3 linked regions of the Alligator mississippiensis genome follow. The protein of the gene in region 1 purifies or fractionates together with the protein of each later gene. This does not show direct contact. Links are inferred from orthologs where the notes say so. Each region holds a gene or a part of one and is shown on either strand. Other genes may lie near its edges.

Region 1 (10,446 bases):
TTCCAACTCTATGAATCTATGAATCCCAATCTCCTGACTTCCTGGCTGGTTGCCCTAACCACTACACCAATAGTTCTCAACCTTGAGACACCCCTCTAAAGATGCCAGCTCTTAGTTTTCACTTTTTGACAGCAAAAAAAATAACAGACCAGCTTTTCTGTTGCAAAGAACTCAGACCACAACTAAGGATTTCTATTTGAAATCTCTGGGTGCATCTTGACAAGTACACACATGCAGGGGTGCACATTGCCCAGGAGACCAACAGCAGTGGTACATATTTGTGCTGCTGCTGCTAGGTGTCCATGGGCACTCCCCGGAACAGGCAGTCCAGGGCATGACAAAGTGACCTGGGTGGAGTAGAGGAAGCCTTATGAGGTTCTGGGGGCTTCCCAGAGCAGCAGTGGCGCTAATCCAGCCACTCAGAACCTGGCCACCAGCCAAAGTGTGGTTCTGGCCAGCCAGGCTCCTTTTTCGGGCGGTGCACACTGCTGCTGTGTGCACCACACCACTTTTTCTAGCAGCATTTTTTTTTGACAACAGGATCTTCTGGTGTCAGAAAAAATTCTGTGCTGCAAATTAGCAGCTCAGCAAACAGGTACATGTGCACCATGTGCAGTTTGCTGTGCCTCAAATGTGCATACTTGTCAGAACACGCCCTCTGGATGTATCCTGTGAATCATGTTTGTGAACCTAAGAGTGCTAACATTGTGTGGCACACTGCATAACTCTTGCAAACTCCCTGGTTGAGAATCACTGCACTACACCTTGGTGCCTCCACGAAACAATACAACATTATGTAAACAATATCACAGCATTTGCCAGAATCCAAGCCAATGAAAAAGAACTAAACTCAAAACCAGCTTGCCTGAATTTAATTGATGCAACAGAGATATGCTGTTCAATTATAGACCAAATCTAAATTAGATGCTCACAGTACTGTGCACATCAATAATAAATTGATTGTACTGATCTTTAAATCAATTACATGCATCTCCATCTTCTGAAAAGTTACAGTGTATTTTGAAAGACATTTTCCAATTTTACTACTTAAGCTCTAAAAAATAGCAACAACTTCAAGCTCTTGCTGATGCCTTTTGAAGTTACAGCAAATTGTTTCAGAGGTACCCATCATGTACACTGTTAGGTCAGCATTCCAAGGATGGTAATAAAAAAACTATCATTCAGCTGTCACCCATTTGAAACACTGCAAAAAAAGCCAGCCTATGTAAGGACACTCTAAAGGGGCCCAAAATAATCTAACCTGTGCAGATACTTCATTATATACTTGGGAAGGAAGAGAAATGTATTTAGATTATCATAATAGCATCAATATTTCATTTAATTTACCTGAAGGACTAAAACCACTGGCCAAAAATGAAGTAACTGTGTTTTGTCATTGGATAACCACAGCTGAATTCTCTGCGTGTCACAGACAAGCGATTAGGAAACAACACTCTCAACGAAGAAGAACAGTATTAGAATATGCACAATATTCTTAAATCTTGTGACAGATTATTCTAATTACTGTGCCACCATTTACTAGACTAGATATTGTTAAAGTCACAGATACATGTACTTAAGTAATATCTAGTACCGATAAGCTACACTCTGAATGCATCAGTACTCTCTGCATAGTCAGACCACCCTACTCGTATTCTAAAGGATATGTCTGCAGGGTTTGCACTTTCCTTTAAGCAATTACCTTGAAAAAGATACAGGGCTATCTGTGTTTACTGGAATATTATGACTTTGAGCCAAAGTCTGCAGAGTTCTTTTTCAAGCAAAGGGCCTGCAGACTATAATGAAGCAAAACTTTTTTAGTGATATATATTACTGGACCAACTGTAGAGTTGGAAGAGATGTTTTTTGGCTCAGCCAGATCAGGTCTTCTTTCTCCATTTTTCTCAAAGTTTTCTTTGCAACCTTCATTGCAAAGTGACATTTTCCCCTGCAGTGTTAAATGTTACTCCTGTTTCTTTTAATTTGTTCTCTAATGACACCTTACTGATGTGGGAGCGACTTGTTCCCTCTGTGGATATCATCTTCCCTACAGAGCACTCAAACTGCTAAAAGGTCCTTAGCTATTTACCCTGCGACACTAATCCTCTTATTTCTGATACTTGGCCCATTTTCATTTATGAAGTACACTGCAGTGCTACACTTTAAATCCAAAGATTTGTTCAGCCAAACTGTAAGAAAGAATGGTATTGCATACAGGTGATTTTCCTGTGCAGCTGAGAGCTTTGAGCTCCCTCACAAGTATAAAGCATGCTTCAAGTATGTTTAAAAGTGTTAAAGGAGGATTGCTACTTTGTAGGGGCAGCCTCAGATAGCATTATCAATGTCACAGTCCTATAAGTTTTTCTACAGTGTAATGCACTGGTTGATTAGAAGTATATTTTTATCAATATGGGATAACTGCTGTTAAGAAATCTGTTTGCTGTTTGATCTGCAGGGTTATACAGAACTTGACTGTATTTTTTACCTATAATGTGTAGCAACTAACATACCTATATTTTGTTTTGTTGCATTACCAGTTAATGGTTTTATTTGAAACTGATCCCTTGAATGAAATATGAATTTCATACTTTCCCTATAACTTGTCATTTTAAAGTTCATAATTTTTAGGGAACAAGCTTAAAGCTGGTCCAGCGGAAGTTAAAACGGAAATCTAATGATGCAATACAAAATGGCAACTGAGAACCACCTTGGATCCCTTAACTATTCCCTTCCCAAACTTTTAGATTTTATTCTGCTCTTGAAAGATGCGCATCTTTATTTAAGACTCCGATATTTCTGCAGTATTCATAAATTCCTTAACCCTTGTGTAGCGAAGCTTTTGTTAATCAGTGCTATGTAGTTAATATCTGACCAGTTTTGAAGAAACACTTCCTGCTACAAAAACTGAGACCCACTAAAGCAAACCTACCTTCTGAGAGAGTCAGGAAATCCCTAGAATGTACATAGAGAAGAGAAGACAAAGAAAACTTCAAGTATCTGACTGTTTATACCTAATAAATGTCAGGCATTTAATATGTTCAAAACAGACAGGTAATTCAACCTTTTTTTATCTTTCTTTATAAATCTCCCAAATCCTCACCACTTTCTTCTTACAGTACCCAGTTCTCTCCGTTCCTCCTTCCATGCTCCACTCTGAATTTCCAGCATGCTTCCTATCTACACCTCCCAAAGTTTGTCGGCCTTCTGTTTGCTACCCAGCTTTCCAAGATCTCTCATACATCCCCTGCATGTCCCTGGAACCATCCCCCACTTCCCCAAGCTTCACCCTCATTTCTTCCACGTTCCAACATCTTCCCAGACTGCCGGCAACCTCGTCATCACCTTTCTCTGCTTCAGCCAATCTCTTACCCCTTCCATGCTCCTCCTCTTTTAGATATCTCAAAAACTGGATGCGCGACTCCAGGACAGGCCAGTCCTACCACCTGGCTGGTCCTTCCCTCCTCATGATGCCATTCTACTCCCCCGCAAAGTACCGAGGGCATCTGCCCACAATAAAGCAAAAAATATTTCTGGAGTCTGCGCATAAAACTAGTTGGAGACATAAAGAGCCAAAGAGAGTATTGTTTTCAAGTCCAAATGTTTCCACAAAAAGTCCAAATGCTATTAAATTATTAGCGGGAGGGAATCTAACCCAGGCTGAATGCAGCAGACTTTCAGGAAACTCCATTTCCCTGCGGTGCAAGGATCTAAGATTAAAAACTGCCCTTATTCATTTTACAGAAACGTGCTTTTGCCTTAAGCCCCTAACCCACACCCAGCATTTACCCCAGCACGGCTGCCCGGGGCGTGCTGGTCCCGGGTGCTGTCCAGGGCTAGTAAAAGCGGAGGGAGAAACTGAAGTGCTGGCACCGGCCCTGGGCCGGCAGCTACATCCCTGCTCCCAGGGGGCGCCCAGACACACCCACTGCCTTTGACAGCTCCGCGCTCGCCCGCCCGGGCCGCACCTCGGCCGCGAGCCCACGGCCGCGGGGCGCTGCGGAGGGCGCTGCAGCCCTGGGCCCGCCCCAGCCCCGGCCGCTGACAGGCCCCGCTGCGGCAGGCGCGGCGCCGGGTTGAGGGGGCGCAGGGCCGGGGCTGGGACGGGCCCCCCAGCAGCACCAGTCGCGGCCCCACCGGCCCGCGGGTAGCTGCCAGCGCCGGCCCTGCCCCCTCCCCGGCCGTACCGCAGCGTGGGCCCCACGCAGGCAGTGTCCGTGCTCTCGATCTCCTGCAGGATCCGCTCATGCTCGGGGAGACCGTCCGCCATCTTGGGTGGGAGGAGCCAGGCGGCGGCGGGGGAGGGGGCGGGGCCGGCTCCAGGGAGCTCGGCCTGAGCCGCGGGGCGGAGGCTGTAGGAGGCGGCCTGCCCGGCCCGGCCTGGCCCGGCCCTGGTACGGGCTCGGGTGCACGACCCTGCGCAGCGGCCCCCACCCAGACGTGTCGCCTCGGAGCCGGGGACCCACCTGGCCCCGCGTCTTCCTAAGCTGGGCTGGTGGCCCTGCTGCGCCCGGGACGCTGGATCCCGCCCGGGGCCGGTCCGAGGGCGCCCTAGGCCACCTGTGTCCCTCGGCGCCCGCCGCTGCCAGTACAGAGGATCGTTAGGGCGACGTTGTCAGCGACACGCTCTTGTCCTAAGTGCGCTCGGGAGTTGACAAGACAGGAGCCGCGCGCCCAGCGACCTGTCTGTCCCCCGAGATCTTTGCCGAGGTGTTTCTGTCCCTGCTGAGCCACAGGTCTTAGGCTGACCATGGGCGGGCAGTTGTTTTGGGCGGAGGGCTGCTTACTGAGTTTTGGCAAGCTATTGAGGGCTGCATGACAGATAAATATTAATTTTCTAAATTTTTTAGGGGCACCGCAGGCCGGATAGAAAGGGCTGGTGGGCCACATCCAGTCCCTGGGCCCCATTTTGCCCACCCCTGTCTTAGACCAAGGTGGAACTGTAGCCGGCCAGGGCCGTTATTTTGAATGATGTTCCTGCTGTTTTGTTCTGGGTGTAATTTAAGCCCCCCCCCCCCAATTTTGGTGCTCTAGGCGACCGCCTAGTTCACCTGCTGGTTGGACCCGCCTTGGGAATCCCAACACCTCCGAGAGGCCTCTGTGCACCCTGCTGAATCTGCTCGAGATTTGCCTCCCCAACCCATCCAAACTCGGTGAGTCCCTGCCATGAACAGCCAGCAAGTGCAGCCGCTCCCCCTACTCTAAAGAGTCTGGACTGTCTGCACCAGTCCTGCAGAGATGACCGGAGCAGTGTGCAGGGCCCTGCCCCCAGACACAAGGGAGCCAGAGGCAGGGTGCCGAGTGGCCAGACATGCCAGATTCAGCAGCAGATTTCGGTGGTGGGGAGATGCCAATAGCTGGACTTGAAGCCAGCAGCAGCAGCGCGGAGTCACTGCAACTGCTCCACCCAGCTCCGTGGGGCCCCAAAAGCACAGGGCCCCCGGGGCGGTTGACCCGGTTCACACCCCCACCCCAGGAACAGCCCTACCTTCAGAAACACAGTCCAGCAGGGCTTTCGGCCACACATCTCTGGGCTAAATAACAGAGAACAAATACCACTTCTCAGAGTCCAGTGTAACTCTTCTCTTGTCTCCCGCTTTACATCCTGAAACAGAAGCACTTAAAAAATCTAACTGGCCTTAAACGGTCCATTTTTTCATGCATCTTTGCAGAGATTTTTCTTTTAAATAGCAAGTGCGGTCTTCCTTTTTTATATCATGTCACGCTGCATCTATTTGTGATGCATTTCAGAGCGGTCAAGATAGCTTTAAGAATCTAGCTTTATCTTGCTGGATCTAAATCTGTTTGGATTCGCATGGGGCTGTGTGCAAAAATGTTATAGATCCAGCCGAGCCCAACTGTCAGATATATGTCCTCCTTGTGTTGGTTTTGCACCAGGATATGTCAGAGCCTGGATTTTTTGATCAAGTAGCAATTAAAATGCTTTCTCTTTTTTGACCATACAAGTTGGAAGCTTTCAGCCAAAAATCATTAGCATACAGCAAGCTTCAGGTGTGTAAGTGCATTTGCAGTGTTATTAACAGGGATGCGGTGGAACTGGAACAACTAGCTTCTCTTAGATGGTAGAAATTTTGGGCTTGGGTTAAAAAAAAAAACAAGCTGGATTCAACAAGATCTAGGTACTGAATATGGAGTTTTTTGGGCCACTTTTTCTGGCATACTTGCAGCTGCTGTATTTTTCTGTCCATTTAGCCTTTAGAATTTGGTAAACTGGGGATTAAAAGTGTCAAGATCTACATGGATCTATATATCATATATATAGATTTTCTGCTGCTCCTTGGCTCATGTAACATCAAGGTTCTTATTTTCTAGTGAAGTAGGATTAGATTGTTTTCTGTTTAAATTGTATAATTTGGCAGACTGGGGACAAAATTGTTAATGTCCAGGGGCCAAACCTGAGTTGTTAGTGTTCATGTGACAGGATGCATCTGCTGTCTAGGCAAATGTATCTGTTCACAAATGGAAGCTAACTTTTGAAAATGTGGACCTTAAGAGCTTAATTTTAAACTGGATTGGCCACTTATGAGTTTTCTAGCACTGAAAAACTGACAGCAGTTTTCAGTGGTGCGTGTAGTTAAACCATTCCAGAACATGGGCAAGGTGCAATTGTATTTTACTCTATTTTAGTAACTGTAATATAATGGCATTGAATATGATTTGCAGCGTGTTTATGTTTGTGGCTAAACCATGTTTAATGCTGGTTCAGCTGGGTTTAATGATGATTGCTGCTTTTAGCAACATGGATTTTTTCTATATGTCAACAAGCTCCTGCAAAGTATTGGTTAGGCAATGTCACAGGAGGAAGCCAATTCATGAAGGGCACTCTTTCATCAGTTTTGGCCACCTCTATAAATTTCCTTCGATAAATAATGTATCAAGTAAAATTCTTCCTGTGTTCCTTCTATTCATCACCAATCTAGACAGAAACAAGTTGTAGGACAATTTAAATTTACTTCTAAATGTATTTGGTTTCTTCCTCTTGACTGATTCTCACTGCAGTCTGATACCCACAATGCCAGGCAAGCTATTTATAAAACTTCTGCAGATACTAATAATTAAATGTAAACATACTACTTTACATGCAACTTACAACTATAATCTATGATAGAGATAGATAAACATTATATACATGAAAATAATCAGAACTATCTTCATTTGCTGCCTTCTTTTAGCAAATTGTAATTGTGTTATTACTCAGATTTTCAGACATTTAGGAATCTCACTAAATGCATGCTATTGTATTTTAAAAATTAAATAAAAATAATGTCTATCTACAGTATAGGAAATAACAGTCACCTATTTTCAGGCACGTAGCTAATGGCATCAAATTAAAAACATTCCATCATGCAAAATAGTTATTACTTCTTACATAATTTATTAAAATAATTTCCTTCATAGAGTACCTGAAGTCCTTGCCCTCAGGGGAAGAGGTTGAACAGAAGTAGCTCCTAGTGTATGTTTGCTCCTTTAGGAGCCAATCCTGCTCCCACTGAATTCAAAGGCCATTTTTCTATATATTCCAGTATAAGATGACCAGAGTTCAGGTATTTGGAGCTGAAGGAAATAATAGGCAAAGAACGGAACAAATCTATTTTAGATAATATAACATGATCTAAATTATACCTACCTTAAAGTGGTCCCAAGGGGCAGCTCAAAGGACTCAATCTCAGCAAGGGCATTTTCATACACTTGGTCTTGATTTTCTTCAGAATAAAACTCTACCAAGCTTGGTTTGTTTTTTCCAGCCATTGATGAGTACAAAACTGTTCAAACTTTAGGGAAAGACTTTTATTGGAATTATTATTATTATTATTAACAGAATGATTCTCTACTCAGCAAAATCAGCAATGCAAAAACAGGCCCTGCGTTGACCTCGTGATTCCTGAGGACTTTGTGTCCAAGAATGTTGCACAGCTGCTGTTTTCCTGTCTCCTTCCATAGCATTTGCCAATTACTCTATGCCCAGTTCAGTAAGGTCTTTTATTGAAGCCTTATTTATTTTAAATGGAAAAACTGTCGTAAAAATATCGTTGTGTTAATAAAATATTCAATAATATTTTACTGGTAATAAGTACTAAACCAAAAGCCATTACAAATATTTATGCTTTATCAGTTTTTGAGAGTTTAAAAATCACATTTTCCTATTTTTAAGTAATTAATTTTTCCCTTTTGCTTTGTGAAATACCCACACAAACAGGAAACTAACTATACATATGGAAAAGGACTGTGGAATGCAGAACGTTAACGTGACCAGCAGGGGTGGTGCAGGCATTTACCCTAAAGATTTTCAAAAGGAGACTGAATGCACACCGTGATGGAGTTATTTGACCCCAGCAGTCTCTTCTGCCCAGAGCAGGGGGGCTGGACCCAATGATCTTTCTTATGAGGTGCCTTCCAGCCCTAAACTTCTGTGAATCTGTAAACATGACATCTCTTTCAGGTTTAGTAATTTTAAGTATCATTTACAGCTATAATAAATAAAAGGAAGTAGGGGTGCACTGATGGAGATTTTGGGGACCGATAGTGATAGTCGATTTTTAAAAAGGCATATCAGCTGATACCGATCTGATTTCCAATACGGCTGCATGCAGCTGGTAAGTCTGCTGTGCTGGATGGGGTGGAGGGAGGGAAGGGGCATGCGGAGGCAGATCAATGCCCCCTGCAGTGAGGAGGGAGGGGGCAGGGGTAGGTGCTGCTCAGCCAGGGTGGGGCAGGGTGCAGGATGGAGCCACGGCTTGTTGGTGATGGGGACGGCTCCCACCACTGCGTGCACCCTGGGATGGCATGGGGGGGCGGGGCATGTGCCCACAGATCTGCATGGGGCAGGGTGGGTAGGCTGCAGGCTGGACCTGGGGCTGCTCTGGGCTCTTCTTGGTGGGGGCTTGGGTCGAGGCAGGAGCTATGGAAGGGGCTGCAGCCACCTCAAATTTCACCATAGCCCGCCTGTAGTCCCACTCCCAGCACTGCTGCTGTGCGCCCAGCACAGCCTCAGGTCAACACCCTGCTTCCACCCATGTGCCAGGAAGAGCAAAATTTAGCGGGGCTGCAGCCCCCTCCATAGGCCATGCCGCAAGCCCAGCCCCCAACAAGAAGAGCCCAGCATAGCCCCGGGTCCAGCCCACAAAGGTAGCCTGCCCACCCTACCCCGTGCAGATCTGGGGGCACATGTGTACTCCATACTCTCCGGGTGTGCACACACCAGCAGGAGCTTCTGTCTCCCTCACAAGCTGCGGCTCCATCCCACACCCTACCCTACCCTGGCTGGGCAGTGCCTGCCCCTGCCTCCTCCCTCACCATGGGGGCTGTTGATGTGCCCACCCCCATACCCTTCCCTCCCCTCTCCCCTTCCACCACAACAGACTTACCAGCTGCACACAGCACTCCACACTGCTAGGCTGTGCTTCTCACTGCCCATGTGCTGCACTGAGGTTGCCCACACGCAGGGGCATTTATTGGCCAAACTAGAGGCTGCCTCAGGCTGATTTCCAATACAGCCAATTTCCTTTACATCAGTACTGATCTGATGGACCGATGTATTGGTGCACCTCTAAAAGAAAGTTCTAACAAAGGGTGATTTTAAAATAGTATCCATTTGTGTTTTACATAAAATTAACTCCGTTCTCTATGTAGGCTACATGTGAATGGACACCTGCTTCTACTTAGAGCACAACTAACTTCCAAGTCCTTGTCTGATCGTTATTACAGTAGTGGGGGCCAACATTTTTGGCAGGTGTGCCACAAATTAGCCTGGCACTCTCCCTAAGTGCCAGTCTTATAAGCTTTCTGCTTTTATCCCCATGTTCCCTGCCTGATCTAATGCTCTGCTTTCTGCCCCCTACCTTATCAGCCACTATACTGCCTGTCTCCTCTCCAATTTGCCGTGGCCCACACACAGGCTGCCCATACCACTTGTGGCACTTGTGCAACAGGTTGGCCATACCTGGATTCCAGTAAGGAAAAATACTTAATACAGCTGCCTCAAATGAATATCAATCTCAGACAGTTTTGAAAAACAAATTAAGTGCCAAATTAATTGAGAAACAATGAATTAAAGAGTTGTTTCCTTGTAAAAAAGGGTAATTTTTTTCTTGATTATGGGTTTTCTCAAACAGACCTCTATTCTAATTATACTTTAAACTACAAATTCAATTACTGCTTTGTAATATAAATATTTCAGGTGTCTGCTATGTTTGTGTACTAAGCAGAGCTTGTGACAAGTCCTTTAGGTCTTTGCATGCTTGTGATTGACCCATCCAGCCACTGGATGTCACACAAACGCAGACTAACAGTTCTGATCTTGACTCTGTTGGACACATATTAACTTTCAAGTTATTGTGAACATTATAAAAGTTAATATAATAATTACAAAATGTATTAAAAGGATTACCCAGTGGGTCTAATTTTAATATCTATATTTCCTAGATTTCT
Region 2 (10,829 bases), on another chromosome or scaffold:
TCTGGCTCTGTGACTCAGCTCTTTGGACTGCCCTCCTGGCTTCCTGGTTTCCCAGCTGTTGGATTCTGCACACTCCTCCTGATCCTGGTTGCTCCCCATAGACCCTGAATGACTCCCAGAGTGGGCTGCCCATAACCCAGCATGACAGACTGTGCCATTGAGGTGATGGCAAGGAAAGAGATAGATGGGACAAGACAATGGGAAGGGATGAGGCTAAAGTTGTTTCCTGGTTCCTCATTTGCAGCTCCCAGTTCCTTAGTCGAAGTTTCAACAATTAGAAAGATAATTATCAGATAAAATAAAAAGTTCTATATTTCATCAAATGCATATATTTGCTAACAAAAACTTAATATCATAGCACATATCAAATACTCCAGTCATCATCCATAGGAATTAAAAAGTTACAGTCAATACACATGCATGTGTGTAAAAGGGACACAACATAACAAATCCCTGTAATTGAGAGACTCTCCTGAAGAGAAAAGAGCAAGGGTGCTGCCCAACGCAAAACTTGATTTTTGTGTGGTATAATGCCACCTGGCAGCTCCCCATGCCTCTGCGCTACATATATTGCATTAAGAAACCAAGTTAGATTGGGATTGTGAGGCAAAATCCACTTTGGGTCACCCCAAATAAGAAATCTCTGTGAGTGAGGGACTCTCCTGAAGCAGCCTGGGCAGGAAACTGCCTGACCAAAGCTTAGTTTTCAAACGGCATGACGGCAATGTGACAGCTCCCTGGGCTAAGGTTCAGTCACATGACTCCAAATCACATGGCTGTTTCTTTCAGTGTTCTCTAGTTTACCTTGTTGCTTTATGCCTTGCAGTTTTCCTGCTCATTTGGTGTTGAACGCTGTACTGTTCCTCTTCTATTAATTTCTAATGTGAAAAGGTGAGAAAAGATGTCTTGGAAAAAGATGAAGATATGGTCAGTACCTTTCTGCATGAATTGCAATGGTTACAGAAAGAAGACTTCTGAAAAGAGAAGTCAGCTCAAGGCCTCATTGCTGGTAGAATTCATAAAAACACAATGAACTTTAGAAAATGGCTCTATAATCTCTGGCATGAGGATAAGAGGTACTTAAAATCAAAAACCTTTAATGAAGCTTTAATGATAACTTACAGTTTTTGCAAGAAGTGTGAGGATTCAGTCATGTGCAACATAACCACCGTAATGATCAGGGATCTGGGTTTTCTGTTTGCTGTGGAAAAAAACACGGATTTTCTCTTTTAATGGAGAAAACCACGGTTTTTCTCCTTTAAAGGAGAATATTATGTACTTCTTTTTTAAAGGAGAAAAACATGGGAAACCGTAAATTTCTCCTTGCAGGCTGGCAGAGTTCCAGCCTGCCAGGGCCTCCTTGGGGCTGGAGGAAATGGGGGAGGGCGATCAGAGGCAGGGCGTACCACGTACATGTGTGCACGCAAAAGCATATGGCAGCCAAGCAGAGGTGGAGAGCAGCTCCCACAGCTGCCTCCAGGTAAGTCTATGGGGGCGGGGCCACAGGATGCATTGGCTGGGCAGGGGGGGCATAGACAATGCAATGGGGGGTACACGTGCCTCCCAAGATTTCTGTGCCCACAGCAGGACATGAGGCTGCAGCCAATCTGGACCAACTCTGGGCAGGAGCCACCTCCGCAGCCCAACAGGTGGGATCCAGTGCAGGAGGGAGTGTTGCGCCACCATGGTCATCCAAGTGAGGCACAGCTGCAGCAGGGGCATGGAGCTATGCACCCACTGCTGCTGGGCAGGCAGGGGGTGCCTCTGCTTGGTGATCATGGTGGCATGGCACTCCCTCCCGCACTGGGTCCTGCCCACTGGGCTACAGAGGCAACCCCTGCCCGTAGCTGGTCTGGCCTAGCTGCAGTCCCGTGTCCCACTGTGGGTGCAGAAATGGGAGGGGAGGCATATGTCCCCTCCCACACCCCCAGGTGTTGCCTGTGCCCACGCACCCCTCCCCCACGCCATTCCCCACTCTCTGGGGGGCTGGGAGCGAGGGGCATCAACAGGGCTAGGGTGGCTTGGGAGTGAGGGGCAACGGCATGGGCAGGGGCAGAACATCAGCTTATCAGGGCTGCTCAGCACCACAAAGCAATTGGAGGGAGAGCCTCAGCTAGACCCGTATCCTGCTGAGCAAAGAGGGGCAGGGATAGCTCTGATTTTCTATGATTAAAAAACAAAAAACAAAATCAAATGCCAAAAGATATTTAGGATTTATTTTATTATAATGACTGAGGCACCGGTAGGCTTCCAAATAACTTTAAAATTGTAAATATATCAATAAAACATGGCGTTCAACTCATACCTATATATTTGGTGTTGCATTTTAATCACAGAAAAATGCGGCTATTGGGTTTTTTAATCAGAGAATTTGGGATTTTTTTATCAGACAAAACCAGGATCCATGTAATGATTAACTTCACTCGCCTAGGGTTTCAAACTGCTTAAGATGTTGTAGACATAATATATCATGCTTCTGTCTACCACATGAAGCTGCACTGAACAGTAGTAGCTCTGCCAAGGTACCACACAAGACCAAAGAAGGTTCCTTTGATTCATGAATAGATTCAGGATTTCCCCATTTTACAGATTCTAACACTACTCAAGATACCAATGCTGTATGGTCATCAGCTGAATAATGATGACAAAGAAGAGGACATTCATTTCCTAAAACAATATAAACAAACACATTTTTGGCTCTGAATCTATGACTACTGGGCAAAATATACTTGTAGGGATAAAAATTAGAGTTGCACCAATTTATTGGTCCATATCATATCAACACTGATAAAAGGGAAATTGACATTATCAGCAATCAGCTGTTTTTGGCTGATGTGGCCAATAATGTTGGTGATAAATGCCACATGCAAGCACGTGGCCAGCCCAGCAGCTTGGTGTGCAGTATATGGCTGGTAAGTCTGTTGGGGGCAAGAGGCAGGGGGAGAGAAGGGGCATGGGGTGGGGGCAAATAAAGGCCCCCATGGTGAGGGAAAAGAGGGGATGGGGCTGGGGCAAGTGCTGTCTAGCCAGGACAGGGTGCAGGATGGAGCTGCGAGCGACTCGTCTGTGGGGGTGCTGGAGCAGAGGGTGGCTTCCTCCGCATCTGTGCACAGGGCAATGGTGAGCTGTTGCTTCCTACTTGTTTCCAGAAGTGGCACCAGGCTCTTCCTGGAACGGGGGGGGGGGGGCACGTGGCAGGGCTGCACTTGAGCTGGGTGGCAGTGGGAGGGGGGGCTACGGGGTGGGCTACAGCCCTCCTAACCTCTCCTCCCAGCTCCACTGCCACTCACTCCAAGTGCAGCCCTGGCCCAGCCCCGCCACACCAGAAGAGCCTGGCACCGCCTCTGGCCCCAAGTAGGTAGCAGCAGCCCACTGTCACCCTGTGCACAGGTGCAGGGGGGAGGCTCCCCCAGCATGAGCGGCTTGCAGCTCCAGCTTGCAGCTCCATCCTGTGCCCCACCCTGGCAGAGCCTGCCCCATCCCCAGCTCCCTTCCTCCCCCACCATGGGGGCCTCAATCTGCCCTCTCCATGCCCCTCCCCCCCAACAGACTTACCAACTGGACACTGCTCTCCAACCTGCCAGGCTGCATATCGGCAATTGGATTGGTATTGGCCAATATGGTTTGTTAACAATCAGCCATCGGTATGGGCCCAAAAGATCTTTATCAGTGCACCCCTAGTAAAAATTGTAGAGATTGATAAACAGTTAGCTAGCAGTGACTCTGACATTAATAACAGTGATTCGAGGGCATTGTGAAAACATTACAGAAAATGTTATGTCTGGAGCTTCCTTTCCACAAGGAAAGTATATTTACTGCTTCATGTCCATCAAGATTCAATATAATTTTTTGTAAGGATGAGTGGAAACAAATTTTTCTAACATCAAAATTACTGCTACAGTTAAACAAATGGACAGATGCATTTTGGCCAAAAAATTAAAATAATACAGCATGTTCTGTGTTTTAACATGATTATGTTTAAAAACAAAAACACAGAAATCGAGACAGATGAATGTTCCTTTTTGATACAAAGCAAAATGCAAAATGCAACTGGGATGGGTGTTTTTGGTTCTTTATGAGAACTGAAGGGAGACCAGGAAAACATGATCAACATATAATAAGTGAAATTCAAGTAAAAGGAGAAATACAACACAAAACCGGTAAAATGCATGAAAAGCACACATGCTGGAAAGAAAGAGGAGAATTAAGAGAACTGAAAAAACACTGCCATGCATTTGCATTTTCACAGACCTACATTTTACATATTGGCTTCTATTCCATCCAGGAGAGCACAAAACAACAGCAGACTCTCCCCATGCCTGAAGAAGGGTGTTTGTGCCTGAAAGCTGCAAAGAACAATATTTCCAACTATTTAGTTGGTCTAATAAAAGACAGTCCATGGAAAACAAGATGTTTCTGGTAAAGAATACATAAAACTTTATGTGCTCACATGCAGGACATCACTGCATCACCTTTCACACTGCTCATGTACAGGACACCCACCTACACCTAATGTTTGATCTTTAGAGAGCAAGGGTGTGTAACTTATACCTGGATATCAGGGGCTCTGTTGTTAGAAGACCTCCATCATGTAATCATTTAATCTTGTATTATGAATTATATGCTAAGTTGCTATCCAACTCAACAAACATGTCAGTTGCAGAGACACTAACAGTTGACCAGAGTATTCTAACAATATCACGGTGGCAAACCTTGCTTTTCCAAGCAACTCTTCCACATCACAAAAAGTAAAATGTGACTTCAGTTGGGCTTTAATTCCTACAGCTATTTAGGTTTTCAAGCATATGAGTGCTATACATCACCTAATGCCCACTTTGAATTACGTCCTGGGAAAAGGAAAGCTGATATTACAATTTTACACACATGTGTAACACATATGATCAAATATATGGGCATGTATCTAAAGCTGCAGCTTCTAAGAATGTCAAGAATTGTTTATATATGCCTTTGCCTTATTGTGAACTGAAAAAGCAATACATGAATGCAGGCAATTAATAAACTCAGCATAATTTTCAGTGCAGCACATTTTAACAGACAGTGCAGGGAAACAATAACAAAAGTAAAACAATGTATAAAGAAATCAGCAGACCTCTGTCTCTCAAAATGAGGCTGAATCAGGTTCCTTATTCAAAGTTAATCTTTACACAATTAAGAAACTGGGAATATGGAACTGGGAACAAAGAACCAATCAACTTCAGCTTCCTCTCTCCAAATCATTCTAAACCTTGACTAGGAAACTGTAATTGAAAAGAAACGAGAATCAATTTGCAGTCTCAAAACACATTATTGGAAGAATACTTGAAAATCAAGCTTCAGGGTGGGCTGTGCCCTGTTCAAGGTGCTTCCAGAGAGTCCCCTGATTGCAGAACTATGTCACTGATGGTGACCCAACACAGATTTTGCCCCACAGTCTCAACCTAACTCGGCTCCTTACTGAGCACGGTGTACAAAAGTCCAAGGGGGAACCTGCCAGGTGGCACCACGCTATACAAAAACCAGGCTTTGTGTTGGGCAGCACCTCTGCCTTTTTCTAGAGGGCAGCCACGTGTATAATAAACACAAATGCTTTTAGCTCCTATGGATCTGAAGAAGGAACAGGGAACCGTGAACAAGGAAAGAAGAACTGGGGACCAGGAACCAACTCCAGCCTCAGAGGAAGGGAGAACTGGGCCCATCTGGACAAGATACAGAACCAGGCCTGTCTGGTGAGGTGAGAACTAGGCCGAAGACCTGGGGTCACAAAGAGGTTTGGCCAGTGGCACCCCAGTTTTTTGCCCTGGGGACTGGATGGGCAGGGCGGCAGCCCCATCCAGCCATGATGGCTGGGCAGAGGGGCAGTGGCTACCACTCTCCAGCTGCTAAATTTCCCACCCCATGAGAAGCCCTGTGGGCAGTGTTACCAAGTCTGCTTATAGTAAGCAGAATTAGGCTTGTTTTTTGGGTTTTTTTAAGTTGCTTTAATTTTTGGGGAGTCACGGGTTGATAAGCACCCCTGCTCTCCTCTCTTGGAAACGGGTCAGGCATATTTTGAAAGGCAGTGCCGCTCTCTTTTCTGAGGAGACTTGACAACACTGGCCCTGTGTGGGACACCAGGGCACGGCCGGGGTACGTGAGCCACGAGCAGGCGGCAGAGCATGGTCAGGAGGTGCAGATGCTTTGGCCACTGGGATCCACTGCCGCTCACCCCAGGCCCCGGCCAGCACCTGGCTCGACGCCTCGAACCCACCCGCTGGCCTCCACGTGCAAGAACATCGCAGGCGCGTCCGTGAGCACAACACTGGTTCTCGCGAGACTCCCGCCTTCCCCTGCAGTACGCCCGCACGGAACAGAGGGGAAGGGTTGGCGCAGGCGCAGTAGGTCAGTAGCGACGGTCGAGCGGGGCGGGGGAAGGGTTGCAGCGCAGGCGCAATGGGGGGGAACGGGGGAGACTCGCGGGCGTCGCTTCGGCAGTTGCGTCAGGCGCCTGCGCAGTGTGCGCCTGTCAGCGGCTGCTCGGGGCCGCCGCGGCAGCGGGCGAAGTGACAGGGCCGAGCCGGGCTGCTGCCGGGTGAGTCTCCTCCTTCTCCTCCTCCAGGGGCCCGGGGCCGGGGGGAGCGTGCGGGACGGGCTGTGACGGGGGTTGGGCAGCGGCTGTCCCACGCCTCTGGCCCGCGGCCCTGCGCAGGTGGGAGCTTCCCTCACCGCTGGCTCCGCTACAGAAAAATAATCGTCTCTTGAGCTTCGCTTGTGAGCCGTGTTGGGGCCCCTCGGCGCTTCTCGCAGCCTCGGAGGCGTTTCAAGAGGCTGCAGCGGGGCCAGGTCTTACATATGAAGTGATCGCTTTGGAAGCTCCAAATTATCGTATTTGCTGAAACGCTATCACAGATCCGCAAACAAGCACGCAAGCGAGTCTTTTATTGCTCACTACAAGCCGTCAGTGAATGGGTGGGAACTGGGTCGTCAAAGTTGAGTCATTTCTTTCTTTCAAGGCCAGCCGGCATGAGAAAGTGCTGACAGCAAACCTCAAAGTGACTTCAGGCTCCCAGAGTGACATGGGTTTTGCATGTGCCATGTCAATGAACTCCCCAGCCCTGGCTTCTTTACTTTTCATTCCATCCAGGAAGAGCACACACCAACTGCTGAAACTTCCTTAGCCTGACGAAGGGTTTTTGAACTCGAAAGCTTGCTTAATAACTATTCTCCAGCTATTTGGGTTGGTCTAATAAAAGATATCAGATTCGCCCAAGGAACCTTGTCTGCCTATGTCCTTAGACCAACACAGCTAAAACCTACACCCCAAAAACTGGTGTACATTTTAGCAATCAGGACTCATAGTAGAGATTATATCTTTTATTAGACCAGCAAGATTTTTGCACGCACAAAAAAAATTCTTTAATTTTTTTTTTTTTTTCAAAAATCTAGTTGGTATAATGAAAGATACTATCTCTACTACGAGTCCCGATTGCTTTTTTCTCTAGACCAATATGGCTACAGCCTGGATAACATCATAAATTTTAAACACTTTTCCTGTTGTTGGTTGTACATCATGCAAAGGTTGAAATTATACAAATAGGATAATTATTACATGCCTGGCAAACTGGTGCCATGGTGCCCTGGGGGAGAAGCACTGCCCTGAGGCTTTGTGCGTAGAGGTCAGGTGTTCTCTGACAGGATTTGTTTCTTATTCAGGAGGCTGTCTCACATCCCACTGATGCTCTGCCCTCACTTTAGGACAGTGTTCATGCCCTTTACAGACATGGGTGACGCGTAGGGGGTGTGCCAGCAGTGAAACCACTGCACTTCCGGTTTTGCTGCTGGCTCGACGATCCCCCCTGTCAGTGATCTGGTGCACCCCCAGACTCAGGAGGCACCAGTCACTCGTGCTCACAGATAATACGGCCCTAACCTCCCATTTCCAGTTTTTCTTTCCAGCCAGTGTGGATGGACAGCAGCTGAATGTGGCAACCTTGCTGTTGAAATAAGTTGCTTTGATCAACAGTGCAAAGGAAATTAGTTTTCACAAGTCTTGTTTAAAATGAATGTGGTTAGATTGGGAAAAAACACCTTGTTTACTAGTAGGGACCATTTCTGCCAAGGAAAGGCAGGAGCTGTGCTCTTGTAACTGCGTTCTTAATGGGGATTTCATGTGTGTCACTATTTTGGTTCAGAAAGAAAAGCAGACCCCCAATTGAAATGGTTATTCCTATTGAGTTTTTAACATGGACCAGGCTTATATTATGTAATTCATATAAACAAGGTGTGGCTCTTTTCTTGGCAATTCACTAGGAATTGTAGGTGACAGTGGTGTTAGGATAGAGGCTGCAGTCTTGTTTTATGGTTTCTACTTTCCTTCTATACTACATGTATCTAAAAAAGGCCCTAATTTTATGCTGACAGTTGTGTTTCATTTGAATCTAGGAGTGATTTTTTTTTTATGTTTCCAAAATCATGTTGAACAGATGATGAGAATTTACACATTTTCTGTTATGACACATTCTTGTTCTTAAAGGGCATTCTAACATGTCAAACTGAGCATGTGCATATATACAAAGATAGCTGCAGTACTGAATGCAGATTAAGTGCTTTTGCACATGTGTTGTTTTGAAATGCAGAGTACTGGGAGTTTCAGAAGACTATAGTTTGTGTGTTTGCATGTGCGTGCAAACATGTTTGTGTTCAGTAGGAGTTTTTTTTAATTTCAGAAAGATGTACAGTTTGTAGCATCACCTTATAAGACCAACAGTCTCTTACCAGCAACATTTTCCTAGGAACATTTTTCAAACCATATATTCAGATGATACTCCCTAAAACAACAAGTGTCACTTAGGAGCAACATAATTTGTAGAAGGGATTGACTGTTCTGTGAGTTTGTATTCCCCTTTTATTTTTAATGGGTTAACCAAAGCCTTCACTATGGTAATGAAGCTGCCTTGTGGCAAGGATCTTTGATTCTAAAGCTTAGAGGTAATTAGAAAAATCTTCGGGGTGGAGGGAGGAACATTATGGACTTCCTTTCCTTTTCCGTGTCCTTCTGACAAGGTATTTAGCAGAATTCACAGATACGTTGGAACTTGACAGGGCTGTGCCATGAACACTTCTGCTATGGCCTCAAGCTTGCAACCTCTGGGCTGTCAACCAGTGGGATGGAGGAAAATGGGGCAGAGACCTGTCTTAACCCTAAATTAAGGGACTCTTTCAGAATGGCTCTTTCTTTCTCTTGTTCTCCGTAGAGATAGAAGTTGAGATAGAAGTTCCTATACTCTCAAGACTTAAATAGAAACACTGTGAGGAGTTGGTGAATAAAGGGAGTGGACATCTTTGGAGGCTGGTTTTGGCTCAGTTGAGCAATGAGACAGAGGTACCATTTTGGAAAATTTGTGAGATTCTCCAGAGAAGATGAGACTGGCATGTAAGTAAGGGTGCACCGATAAAGATTTTCTTGGACGATGCCTATAGTTGATGATTAGCCAACCACACATGCCAATCCGATAACCAGTATTTAGTAATAGTGCAAGGCATGCTATTGACATAAACCTCTTTGTTTTGCAACGCACACGCACACACACCCACACCCTTCCTGCCTGCTCCAGCCCTTGATGAGGAAGGTGGTGACTGCCTTTTTCCCACATATGTTGCCCCCTCACTCATGGCTCTTAACCCCAGCCCTGCTCCCCACACAGTCTATGCTGCCATCCCGGGCAGGCGGGACGAACCCTTGTGTGGACAGCAGTGCCAGGGGCATTTGAAGCCCAAGAGCATGCTGCTGTCTCAGCATGGTGGGCCCTGCGGAGCCAAGCTCTAGCAGTTGCCAGGGAGAAGCTGCTTTTGCAAAGCTGCTTGATGAAGTAGAATGTCCCTCGCACAGTGCCTTGCCCCTCCTGCATGCAGCCCTAGTGCTCAGGCCCCTGCTGTGCACATTGCTTTGCCATGGCAGCAGCAGGAGCTGGGAACAATCCCTTTGTTGCTGAGCAAGGCACCCTGTGACCGCTCCCCGGTGCCTCCTGCTGCTCACTGGAGCCTATAGTCTGTCATGAGATCAGGTCAGTGGCAGAGTGCAGGAACCAGACTACGCTTGCCAGGGTGCTCTGGGCATGCCACTGTAATTATCAGCTACCACAATTTTAAAAAGTCAGTAGCCAATAACATCATTTCTCCTTTTATCAGTTCTCATCTGATAGCCAACTGATATATCACCCCTACATGTAAGCTTTCAATTATGAAAACTGGACCAGAATTACTAGGAATTAAGTTTCAGTACATGGACTTCTCTATTATTTGGATGATTTGGGAAAAAGAGAGAGTGAGATAAATCTCTCAAAAGGAGTCATTTTTAATATTGATTTTTCTCAGCTGTAACTTAAAAAAAGCAAAAACAAAAAAAACCCCTATTCCATATTCAAACAGAGTTGTAATCTTGAATGTAGTAACTTTTGGTGTCTAATAAAAAGCCTGAATTTTAACTTTAAATAAAGAATCCAACAAATCCTGAACTACGGAGCTTTCAATCTACAAGTCCCTAATAAAACAAATGTGTATGTTCAATTTGAACACACAGTCAAGAGAGTACAGATTACTTGGGCCTCTTTCTACCAATTGCAGTTTTCCATTTAATCCAAAATGTTCTGAGATTTATTTTTTAAAATGATGTATCAAGGTGAAATAATGGTATAGCAGATGTGTAGGCATACCCTGAGATGAATAAAATCTGTGTGTGTTGTCGTAAGTTTCAGAAGTGGAGACCGGATGTTTGGAAGATAACTTTTAGTATTATCTTTGACAGAGAAAGCACAATCTCTGGAAAAACAGTTATTGTAAAGTTTCCTGGTTCC
Region 3 (10,424 bases), on another chromosome or scaffold:
CACATGGGTCAATCAGCAGGTGTGACTAAGTAAACCAACCTGGCCCTGCATCCTGGATCAATCCTCAGAGTGACCCTATGCCCCAGCATGAGGGGCTGCATCGCTCCACAGGGCTCCCTCCAAGAGTCTGGAAATTTGGTGGCGGAAGTTTCCTGAACGCTCCACTGCTGCCAACATTTCTGAACCCAGGGGGAGCCCATGGGCTGGATGGTATTGCCCTGTGGGCTGGATTTGGCTCACGAGCCTTAGGTTGAACATCACTGAGCTAATTCATTAGGACTCAAAAGGCACCTGGAGGATTTAAGCCCTCCATTTACATCCTGTGCAAACTCAAAGCACGCCACTGCTTGGACACCTTGGCAAACTTCCTGTGCTTTCTGAAAGATTGCAAGTCTTGGATTCTGTATTAAGGAAAATGTTCTGTCCTTGACAGGAATAAATACACAAGTTAGCTGAAGACAAGATACAGGATTTCAGCTACCACAGGTCTTCCCAATACAGGATGCAAGAGCAAACCAATACGGTGCTTCAAATTTGGGCTAAGCAACTGAGGAGGAATCTGAAACACTGCTCCTACAAGCAGGCAGCCAATGTATCTCCCTTTGCCAGCAACTGGCAGGTGGGCAACTGGCAGCCAAGTATGTATCCATATAACCTGCCAGGATCTGCCAGTGTGCTACGTACCACTCGGTTCAGTTCCGGGCTGTCAGGATTGTTGTCTTGGAAATACTCCACCGCCTTCTGGATTTTGTCCAAACAGGCCAAATACTCCACCAGTCTCCCTGCAGGGCTGCAGTGGAAATTGGGCATGGATGAGAGGAGGAAGCAAGTGCAGACACTAATGAAGAACTGGACAATGTTTGGAACAAAAGCTTCCCACTGAGATGAAAGGGGATTTTGCTGTTACTGAGTGTTCCCTTTAAATGCACAACTGGCATGCAGCAGGGCACTTACCCCAACTCAGTGTAACCAATGCTCAGTAATTACAGCGCACCCTGCCCTAAGCTTTGTGTGTTCATTAAAGGTCCTGCCCTTGTCCCTTAGAAAACATTACACCTCTAACAGCAACCTTGGAATTGGCAGGACTTAGTCAACCAGCTGCTTTAGAAGCCTTTAAATTGCTGGCTCCTAGTTGGTTTCTTAAATTCTGCAGTTAAACAGGATACAAGCAGTGGGGGTACCACTGAGTTTTTACAAGATTAAGCTGTTTTGGCCTTTATCTGGGGCCCCTGACACATAGTAACACTGAAGATGTTAAACTTGTTAATGTGTCTTAAGTAGCGACATGGGTGCATGTTCATTCCATTGACGGTGTTATAAAACCCAGAACAAGCAAAGTTATTACACATATTTTATGTAATAACTTTGTTGCTAGTTCCTATCATGTCTTTAATTGAACAGGTGGCCAGTGCTTCCAGTCTCTGGAGTGTAGCTGGGAGTACTGGTCCACTGACCGAGCGTTCCAGCTGGGGAAGCCTTGAACTGCTGACAGAGCTGCCAGTTGTGGGAGCTCAGGGTGCTCCTCACCATGGCTGGGAGTCCTGTCAGTGTTGGGAGCTCCCATCCATAGGGTGCACCATGAGCTCCCATGGCTGGCTGTGCCATTACCTGATGGAGCTCCCACATACAGGAGCAATGATTGCTAGGGCAAGACAAACCCAAGATCATGATCCTGGGTTCCCCCTACCCTGAAATATGGTGTGATGGGATCTGATGCCTGATCCCACAATCACCTCCTGCTTTGCATGGGATCGTGCATGAGATTCTATCACACCTTATTTTTACTGTCTGTCAGTGGCCCAAGATGCATAAAACTGAAGTTTGCTACAGCAAAAGCAACAGGTAATAAATCGGGATTGGCACTGTCATGCCATGAAGCAAAACAGTGCATTTATCTGAGACATGCAAGTGCAGTACACTATTCCTCTACTGTGTCCTGATACCTATGCAGCTCTCTCAATAGGCATTTTGGAACAGCTGGCTTTAAAAGATCCAGTTCACATATAAAATAGTGGGTAGCCTAACACTGCTGTAAGTTTTACTCTGCAATGCTACAGGAGATTGGAGCCATCAGTCTCTCCCCAAACCAGCAAATGATGAGAATGCTGAGTAAGCAGAACACACAGCTTCTAGCAAAGAGGAAGCCGCGCATATCACACAGCTGCATTGGAACAATAACATCTAAAAGAGGAAGCAGAGTCCCCAGTCCAACCTGCCTAAAAAGGCAGTGGAGTCTCCAAGGAAGCTAGAGGTTTTGTAGGAAATGTGAGGAATGGAACCCACAGTCTGGCTTCGAACTTGGCCTGGGGACCAAGTGCAGAATCTGTATGAACAGCATGGAGAGAAGAGCAAGCTCTTTCCCTCAGGGGGCACTGTTGATAGGTCTGGCTGACATGTCTGCAGCATGCAGTGGGAAGAAGGTCTTGGAAATGTGTAAAAGAGTACTGAGATCACCAAGATCCTTGTGGGATCCAACAACTCCTACTCTTCTAAACAGCAATGAGATCCAGCAACATAGCTGAGGACAGCAGTGTACTGCAGCTGTACTCACCCTTCCTTTATGATCTTCTCAGTGTCCTTTGCCACATGGTAGTAGCTAATGACGTGATCCAAGCAGGACAGGGTCTTCTCAACATTCTCCTGCAGGCGCTGCAGATTCTCGGTCTGCTTATGCACAGGGATGATTGAGTTCTCCAGTCTCATCAAGCGACTCTCAAAGGAGGAAAGGATGGAAACCTACAAGCCAAAGGAAAAAGGGGAACAGACAGCAGCACTATGTTTTGGCTTAGCAATTAGAGAAGGGAGCAGGGAATCCTGAACTCCCAGCCTCTATTCCCACTCTACTATGGATTTACTACAGCTCCCTAGGCAAGTCACTTAACCTGTCTATCCTGATCCAATTCATCTCCTCTTCTCTACACGTAGGTTTCATAACATCAGCTGCATCGCACTGGAACCATGAGACTGGCAACCAGTCATGGAAAGGCTCACAAGCATAGGAAGACAGATCTTTAAGGAGACAGACCTCAGCTACAGAACTCTTGAACAAATGAGTTAATAAAAAGCCACAAAAATCACTGTATTCAGGACTAAGTGCAAGACTCAACTCTTCAACCCAGCTTGCTAATAAATTCCTCTTTAACAGTTAAAAAAATAGAAACAGAAAAACTCAACAACATAAGCTTGTTGCTGACTAGAGAAAGTTACTTATATTTCCACATACATGGGAGACACTCAGATGAGGGGAGATATACAGGAACCTAGAGAGACTACAGCTTCACAAACAACAGGCTTCTAACCAACTACCTTTATCACCTTTCCTCTTTCACCAAGAGGTCTAATACATCACATATCTTATAACTCTTATATCAGGTACCAAAAACTGCATCAGTTTCCCCAAAAAATCCTATCAAGGTATGGTCAGACAAACAAATTACTACCCAGTAAGATAGCGTACAGGTTGACAGATCAGCTACTGCATGATAACTGCTTATATGCATGCTACAACCCTGCAGCAAATAGGACATGACCCTCCACGGAAGCAGGGAATGCTTCTCACATACTGCAAGACAACAGCACACACATGGGCAATTACCACAGAGCACCTGAAACATTATAAATTCACACCCCAATTTATCTCTAGGTAATTTGTTCATTGGACCATTGTTTTAACAATATAAACAAGATACTAAGCAAACTATACCCTTCCTTTTTTCACTGAATTCAAGGGATTTGACTTACCATGTTTTTTGTGAGCTGATCACTTTTTTCCAGGCTCTCCTTTATAAAAGACAGTGTTTCTTCTTCCTGGTATTGGTATAGAAAGAAAGAAAAAAAAAATCAATTCTGCAGCACAGGTGAACTTCCAAAGCTCAGAGGCAAAACATTTCCCAGCATTTCTAACTCCTCCTAGAAGGAACATCCTGGCAAATCATTCTAGACCTAGTATTTAGGTTCTACTTAAATGTATTTACCCCAAAGAAAGCAACATAATCAGTGTGACCTAAACACACAATTTAAATAAGGGAAGGTTTTCTCCTTGGGCATGATGAGCCTCAATGCAACAACGTACAGCTTGCAGTCCGGAAGCCAGAAGCAAAATCTATGGTGCAGGTACAGAGCGCAGACACAACTTTGGTCCTAGTGTCTGCTTCCTACCTATGTTGCTCACTCCGTGTCTGACATGCTCCAAGTTCAATTTAAACATGGCTCAGCAGTTTGCCTTGTGCCCACCAATGGACGCAGCAGGTACAAACCGAATGGTAGGATAGGTTTGTGCCAGTCTGGCAGGGCACCGCATACAGTGCATACCCTGAACTAACCTGTCTGCTGCGTGCAGTGGGAGGAGCTGGATTCAGACCATGCACCGCGTGCAGCACACACAGCCAGGGCCAGGGCCAAGGCCCAGACCCAGACCTGCCCTATGCAGTGTGTGCAGTCAGTCCAGGGATCCATGGGCTGCATCATAGGGCTCTGTGGGCCGGATCCAGCCTGTGGGCCATGCTTGACAAGCCTACGCTCTCCCTCTCTCTCTCTATATATATACATTCACACACACACATCTACATATATGCTGACATGTGTGTGTGTGTGTGTGTGTGTGTGTATCTACATATATAGATAGATCTATAGTTAGACATCCATAGATAAGATATATATCTATATCTAGATAGAGATCTCTATATCTATAAAGAGCTAGATACGGATATAAACCTACATGGAGAGATCTCTATATCTATCTACACATACAGGTATGTTTTTGTGCACTCTCGCTCTTCTCCATTGACCATAGGCTTTCTTTAGGACACACAAATATACACACGTGTGTGCACACTCGCTCTCTCTCTCAATATATAGATAAGAGCGAGTGAGTTCCTTTCTATACCTAGAGAGCGAGCGAGCGCATGCATGTACATGTGTATATCTACTCGTGTCATATAACACACAGAGACAGATACATGTACAGCGCACGAATACGCAGACATGGCACATATGTGTACAGACATGTAGGGAGGGTGGGCGCACCACAGCTGTGCAGCTCCCCAAAGCTGGGGCTGCAGTGACTGCATTTGGTGCTCCTCAGGCTGCAGCTTAATCCGGATCAGGGTGCGGGCCCCGGGGCAGGACGGGGGTGCAGCGTGGGGTGTGCCAGGCCTGCAGCCGGGAGGGTGTGCTTTGGGGTGGGTGTGTGCGCCCAGGCCCGGGGCGGGGAAATTCCCCCCCCCCCCCACGGCAGCCCGCCCCGCCCCCCTACCTGCTTGAGCTTGCCCTCGATCTCCCTGCGCCGCGCGGACGCCTCCTCCGTGGGGACCATCCCGCATTACAGCCCGGGCCGCAACAGCCTCCACCGCCCACTTCCGCCCGACCCGGCCGCGGCCCCGTCACCGCCGTGCCGCCATCTTGAGAGTGGCAACCTCCCGCCCCTTACGGCATTGGCAGCCATCTTGGGAGTGGCGGGAACCGGCGCACAGGTGCGCTGCATAGGGACACAAGGCGCATGCGCGCCTCCAGGGAGCGGCCATATTGGGAGTGGCAGTGGCCCGGGGAAGGCCACGTTGGGAGTGTCGTTGCTTTCCAGGAGTGTTGACTGCATGCATCTCTAGTGATGAGTAGGGAGCAGATGAGGAATGTGGTGCGCGTGCCATGCCATGCCTTGGCTGTTGTACCTCTTACTGCCTCCGCTAGAGCAGTGTCAGGCAAAATCGAGGTTCACCTGCATGCATCAAGGGCCCTTCTCTCTTCTCGTACCCCATGTGCACGATCCTCGCTGGCCCCTGCATGGCATCTCATTGCTGGGTGGCAGTCCTCGACCCGGGAGCGCAGCACCTCCCTCTGCGTTCTGCCTGGGGAAACTGAGGCACAAGGCGATGAAGTACATTTGCTCTCCCGTCTCCCAGCAGGCTGCTTTGGGCCCAGGCTCTCCCAGTCTTCCGGTTCAAGTGACCACGTTTCAAGGAGACGCTTCTGAGGCCCACAGCTGGCTAATAGCAGCCCTGACCTTGGCAGCGGCTGGTCAGCTTCCGGGCCTGTCCAATGCTGGACCTGATCCTATACCGATCTGGGCTTCGCTGTTCAAATTTGGGGCTTGCATCCCACGAGAGGGAGTCCTGGAGAACTCTGGGACAGCCTGACATTTGGCCCTGGAAAACCCAGGACTGCTGATGGATAAAGCACCTCATATTGTGCCTTATCCACAAGTTTGTGATGTTGACTAGCAGGGAATCAGGAGTAAAGGCCCCTGGTTTCTTTTTGCTAGTGCTGCTACTGACTTTCTGGTTCAATGCTGGATAATCTCTTTATCCCATCATTTATTCCTCTCGCTCTAAGCGTGCCTGAAGATGCCATTTACCAACCTCTCAGAGGCATCACGAAGATTAATGCTTTCACATACTCTGCAATGCTTGAATGGGAAAGGCCATAAAAGTGCTCAGCCCTGTTAATGGATGTCACAGTGCCTTGTGCTGCTGCTGCCACTAAAAAATAACTGAATGCCAGGGTGACCATTCTCACCTCAGTGCCTGACTAACTGCTGCTGACGCACAGAAATGCCAATTAGCCCTAATAGGTGCCGTGCACTGCTCCCCCTGCACGTGGAGATGAGAGGAGGTCCCTAGACACTCCCTCTCATTTCAGGAGTTCACATGAGCACCCTGACCTCGTATACCTTCCTCCTGATAATTCTCATCCCGATGCAGTCTTTTCTTGCTGCAGTAGAGAGGCTCTCAGGTGCTACGGGGAACAGGGGCACAGAAATACTTTGCTAGATTGGAAGTATGTAAGAAGAGATAGGCAGCATCCCCTGGGAGCCTCTAGCTGCCAGCAGGTCTCAGTGTGACCTGTGCCTTCCAAGTGGAAAATGCTGAGAGAACTGGAAGTCCAACATCATGACTGTGATCATGAGGATGATGGCAGGAGAGTGACAGCAACGTGATCAATTCCCAGCCCTGCTCAAGTGCCAGAACTGTGCAAAATGCAGCATGTCCACCAGATGTCCCCTGGCACCAACTTTCCTTCTCTACATCCTCAAGGGGGGAGAGTTAGACAGCTAGAGAGGCTCTGTGGCTAGCACCAACGTGAAAGAACTGGAGACAGGGACCTCCAGTAGCCATGGAGCAAAACTATTTTAACAAATGCAAAGTATCCAAACTGCCCCTTTCTCTCCCCGCTTCGCCATACGCACCTGCTATTTATCTTTAGTGTTCATTTGCAGTGGGAGAAAAGATCTCGATGCTGCCGAATGAGTTGAATATCATACCATACTGAGAACAGATCTGCATACAATTTAAATAGATTTGCGTGTGATAAAGTCAAAAAACCAAGAGGGAAGGGGGAAATGGACAGCTTACCGGGGAGTATACTGCTTGTGCCTAGAAACCTGGCATAAAGAGAGGAGGAGGGAATTTCCCTTGCTGGCTCTTTGCAGCTGGGATCCAGCACTACAGTAGGGAGCAGCATAGGCATGAGAAGAAGGAAGCTTGAGGTGATGCTTGTTAATAAATCAGAGCACCAATCATTTGCTATGTAGGCAGCACCAAGCACAGTGGGGCCAGAGCTGATTTAGGCGACACATTGGTCATAAAATTAAAGCAACTGGATTTTGCCCTTCCAAAGTATCTGACCTGTCAACGGGCTTTCCCGATAACTAATGGCATCTCTGAGCTGCTCTGCTGGGTAGGAATGATCAGCCTTATTTTACTGAGGGAGAAACAAAAAGGGGCTTGCCTGGTGCCCCATAAAAAGGCAGTTATAGCTATGAGGCCAGAAGCCAGGAATCCTTATCCAGTTAACCCTGCTCCAGATCCATCCTGCATAGCCTCTTGAGGAGAAAGAGCACCATGCCCCTTGGTGCATCCATCTTCTGTCCCCTGCTGGCAGCTAGGGACAGGATTTTAATTGCACTGCATCTGGCACTGACTCTTCTTGCAGCCTCTTGTGCTGCTCACAGCAATCAGGATTGTTGCAGTTTCTGGGGTGCTGCCCTTGGCTGAGACCCCATCCCATTACTCTGGGTGGCTTGATTTTATTTGCTATTGGTTAAGCCCTCCTGGAGACTTTGAGTGAGAAGGGAAAAGCCCCCTCTCACTTGTCTTCCCTTTGGCACACATTGATTATTCTCTCTCCCTGTAGCTTGGTGGGAGCTGAAATTAGCCTTTGTTCAGTAACTTCAGTTTCTATTGCAGAAAGCCTTATCATGTGGCAAACAGCTGTGTTTGTGCAACTGCCTCTTTGAATGGGGGGGCATATAACTGTGTTTTCTGCATGCAAAATTGCTGGCTGGTGACTGCGTTAACATATTTATTTCTCAGGCTCAACTGAGGTGGCAGGGCTGGAGAGGTCTGTTTGACATATATAGATAGAAACTTCTTCAAGTCACCTTCTTCTTCTGCTGATCTGGTGCCTGCATCCTGTACCCTATTGCCGCAGCAGTGACATGCTTTATCTTAATGAGATCTGAGGCGTAAGCGGAACCACAGCAATATTGGAATTGTTTCTTTCCCCCCAAACTGCTGCTGTGTTTCTGCTGTATTGCTGATCTGGCTGCATAAATAGTGTTTTTTTCTGTCTTAGCTTGCAGGCTTGTTTAAGGGGTCATATAGCTGAAAGGGGCATTAACCAGAGCTTCAGGAAATCCATCCTCTTTCCGCAGGATGGAATTACTGTGCGTGTTTGCTCCTCCTGCTGTCCCACTCATCCACTATAAGGTTTGGATGCTAGAGGTGCTGCCTAGACCCTGCCCTTGACACCATCATATTGTGTGAGGGTCTCCTGAATAGGACTTGATGTGTAAAAGACCAGCAAAAAGGCTTTGCTCACCCCCTGTGGGATGGCTTGGCCCACTGACGGAAAAAGGAGGAGCTGGGGGAAGAGAACCATGCGAGCCATTTCTCAGGCACCAACCCTTGTCTCCTGCACCCAACCTCCCCTCACTGTTTTCACTGGAGCAAGGAACTGAATTTATGTTGCAGAAGGTCTTGTGAAGGGGCAGGGCTTGTAGTCTCTGAACCAATCTTCTTGTCTAGGAAGCACCTGCCAATAATCAGTTGGTCACATAATCAAGCATGTACTATAAATAAAAACCACAGATAAGCATCAATCTCTGGTAAGGCACCATTCACCCGTACAGCACCAGACCAAATGCAAATCACTTTCATCACTGCATGAAAGATAAACTGTCAGACAGAGCACTGATTGCTAATAAAATGCAAAGGGTCACCGAATGAGGGTCTGCTAAAGTAAAAAAAACAAACAACCCAATATTTATTTCCAAAAGTAAATGAAAAAAAAGACTGTAGGATTGTGTGGCTCTGCCACCGATGTGCTGTTAGGATATTGAGCGCTTCATCTCCAGGCCTCCAGATTCAAGCCATGCCACACTGGTAATGGCTGGAAACAGTCACCCGCTGATGACTGTTCAGTAACCCAGGTGAAGGAAATGCCCACAGAACAAAAGAAATCACTGTTATCCATCTCAGCATGACTGCTGACTTCACTCCCTGGAGCAGCAGTCTCCCTATGTGAAGGTTGAGGCCTGCCGGTGTGTTTGGGCAGGAGCAGCCTGCCCTGGCATCACAGGGGCAGAGGACATTGAACTGTGGGCTTGTCAGTGGTCTCATCTCCACCTGTGGGACAGGTCTTTAGGTCTGGTGGGCTTTGCTTAACCTGTGCCAGGATGGAACCAGGCCTGTCCTCACCTGAGTGACAGCCTTTGATCCTTCCAGTGTCCCTGATACCTAGACCTAGCAAGAAATTCCTAGGAAGAGGTTTTGCATGCGATGGTCTACCTGACAGGCCTGGACACCAAACTTTTCCATCTGAAAAGCCAAATGGGTAGGGACAGCCACAGTGAAAACTTCCCCCATGCTGCCTTATCCATGTCCCTTCCCAGGCTGCTGTCGAAGCTGAAGAGGAGTGGGAGCAGAAAGGGTACACGGCTCTCCCCAAGCCAGGGCCTCTAGCAGGTGAATGGGACCCACACTGTCCTTGCACCTGTTTAACACCCGCTCAGCCCAGATCTGCAGTGCAGGGCCCCACAGTGTGTGCAAGGTAAGTCCAGTCACCAGGCCCCAGTTGGTGCTTAGTCCCTGCTGGTTCCTTAGCTAGAAATTAAGCTTGGTCCAACTTCCAAGCAAGGACCCTCAAAAGGTGGGAGAGGAAAGAGCACGTGAACCACCCTGTCCCCTTGCCCTGCCATGCCCAGCTTTGGTCTCCAGCTACTTACGTGGAGCTGCACAACTACACAAAAGGGCGATACTTCCTCATTGCTACTTGACCGCGAACCTCTGAGCCCTTGGCCAGAGAGAGATGGGTGGAGAGCTGAGACTTGTTGTGGGAGAGGCCAAACCGGTTTGGGGCCAATGGTGTCCACTGGGTCAATGCCTCCCCTCCTGAGTGGGGCACGGCAGGTACTCAGGTGAAAGGGGAAA

What was found.
Region 2: the proteins of EXOC6 (region 1) and EXOC3 purify together in Homo sapiens (affinity purification with mass spectrometry; 6 studies listed by BioGRID and IntAct, counting the BioPlex papers as one, with this or other methods). This does not show direct contact. The link is inferred for Alligator mississippiensis from reciprocal best matches to the Homo sapiens genes EXOC6 and EXOC3.
Region 3: the proteins of EXOC6 (region 1) and EXOC7 purify together in Homo sapiens (affinity purification with mass spectrometry; 4 studies listed by BioGRID and IntAct, counting the BioPlex papers as one, with this or other methods). This does not show direct contact. The link is inferred for Alligator mississippiensis from reciprocal best matches to the Homo sapiens genes EXOC6 and EXOC7.

What each region holds. Positions count from the first base shown.
Region 1 is NC_081829.1:70,364,214-70,374,659, forward strand, and holds the start of EXOC6 (exocyst complex component 6), read right to left. Parts: upstream 4,285-10,446; 5' UTR 4,268-4,284; coding exon 4,185-4,267; intron 1-4,184. UniProt on the Homo sapiens protein: Component of the exocyst complex involved in the docking of exocytic vesicles with fusion sites on the plasma membrane.
Region 2 is NC_081826.1:146,162,585-146,173,413, forward strand, and holds the start of EXOC3 (exocyst complex component 3), read left to right. Parts: upstream 1-6,463; 5' UTR 6,464-6,568; intron 6,569-9,230; exon of another isoform or gene 9,231-9,409; intron 9,410-10,829. UniProt on the Homo sapiens protein: Component of the exocyst complex involved in the docking of exocytic vesicles with fusion sites on the plasma membrane.
Region 3 is NC_081831.1:13,530,804-13,541,227, forward strand, and holds the start of EXOC7 (exocyst complex component 7), read right to left. Parts: upstream 5,363-10,424; 5' UTR 5,315-5,362; coding exon 5,255-5,314; intron 3,808-5,254; coding exon 3,742-3,807; intron 2,737-3,741; coding exon 2,552-2,736; intron 791-2,551; coding exon 685-790; intron 1-684. UniProt on the Homo sapiens protein: Component of the exocyst complex involved in the docking of exocytic vesicles with fusion sites on the plasma membrane.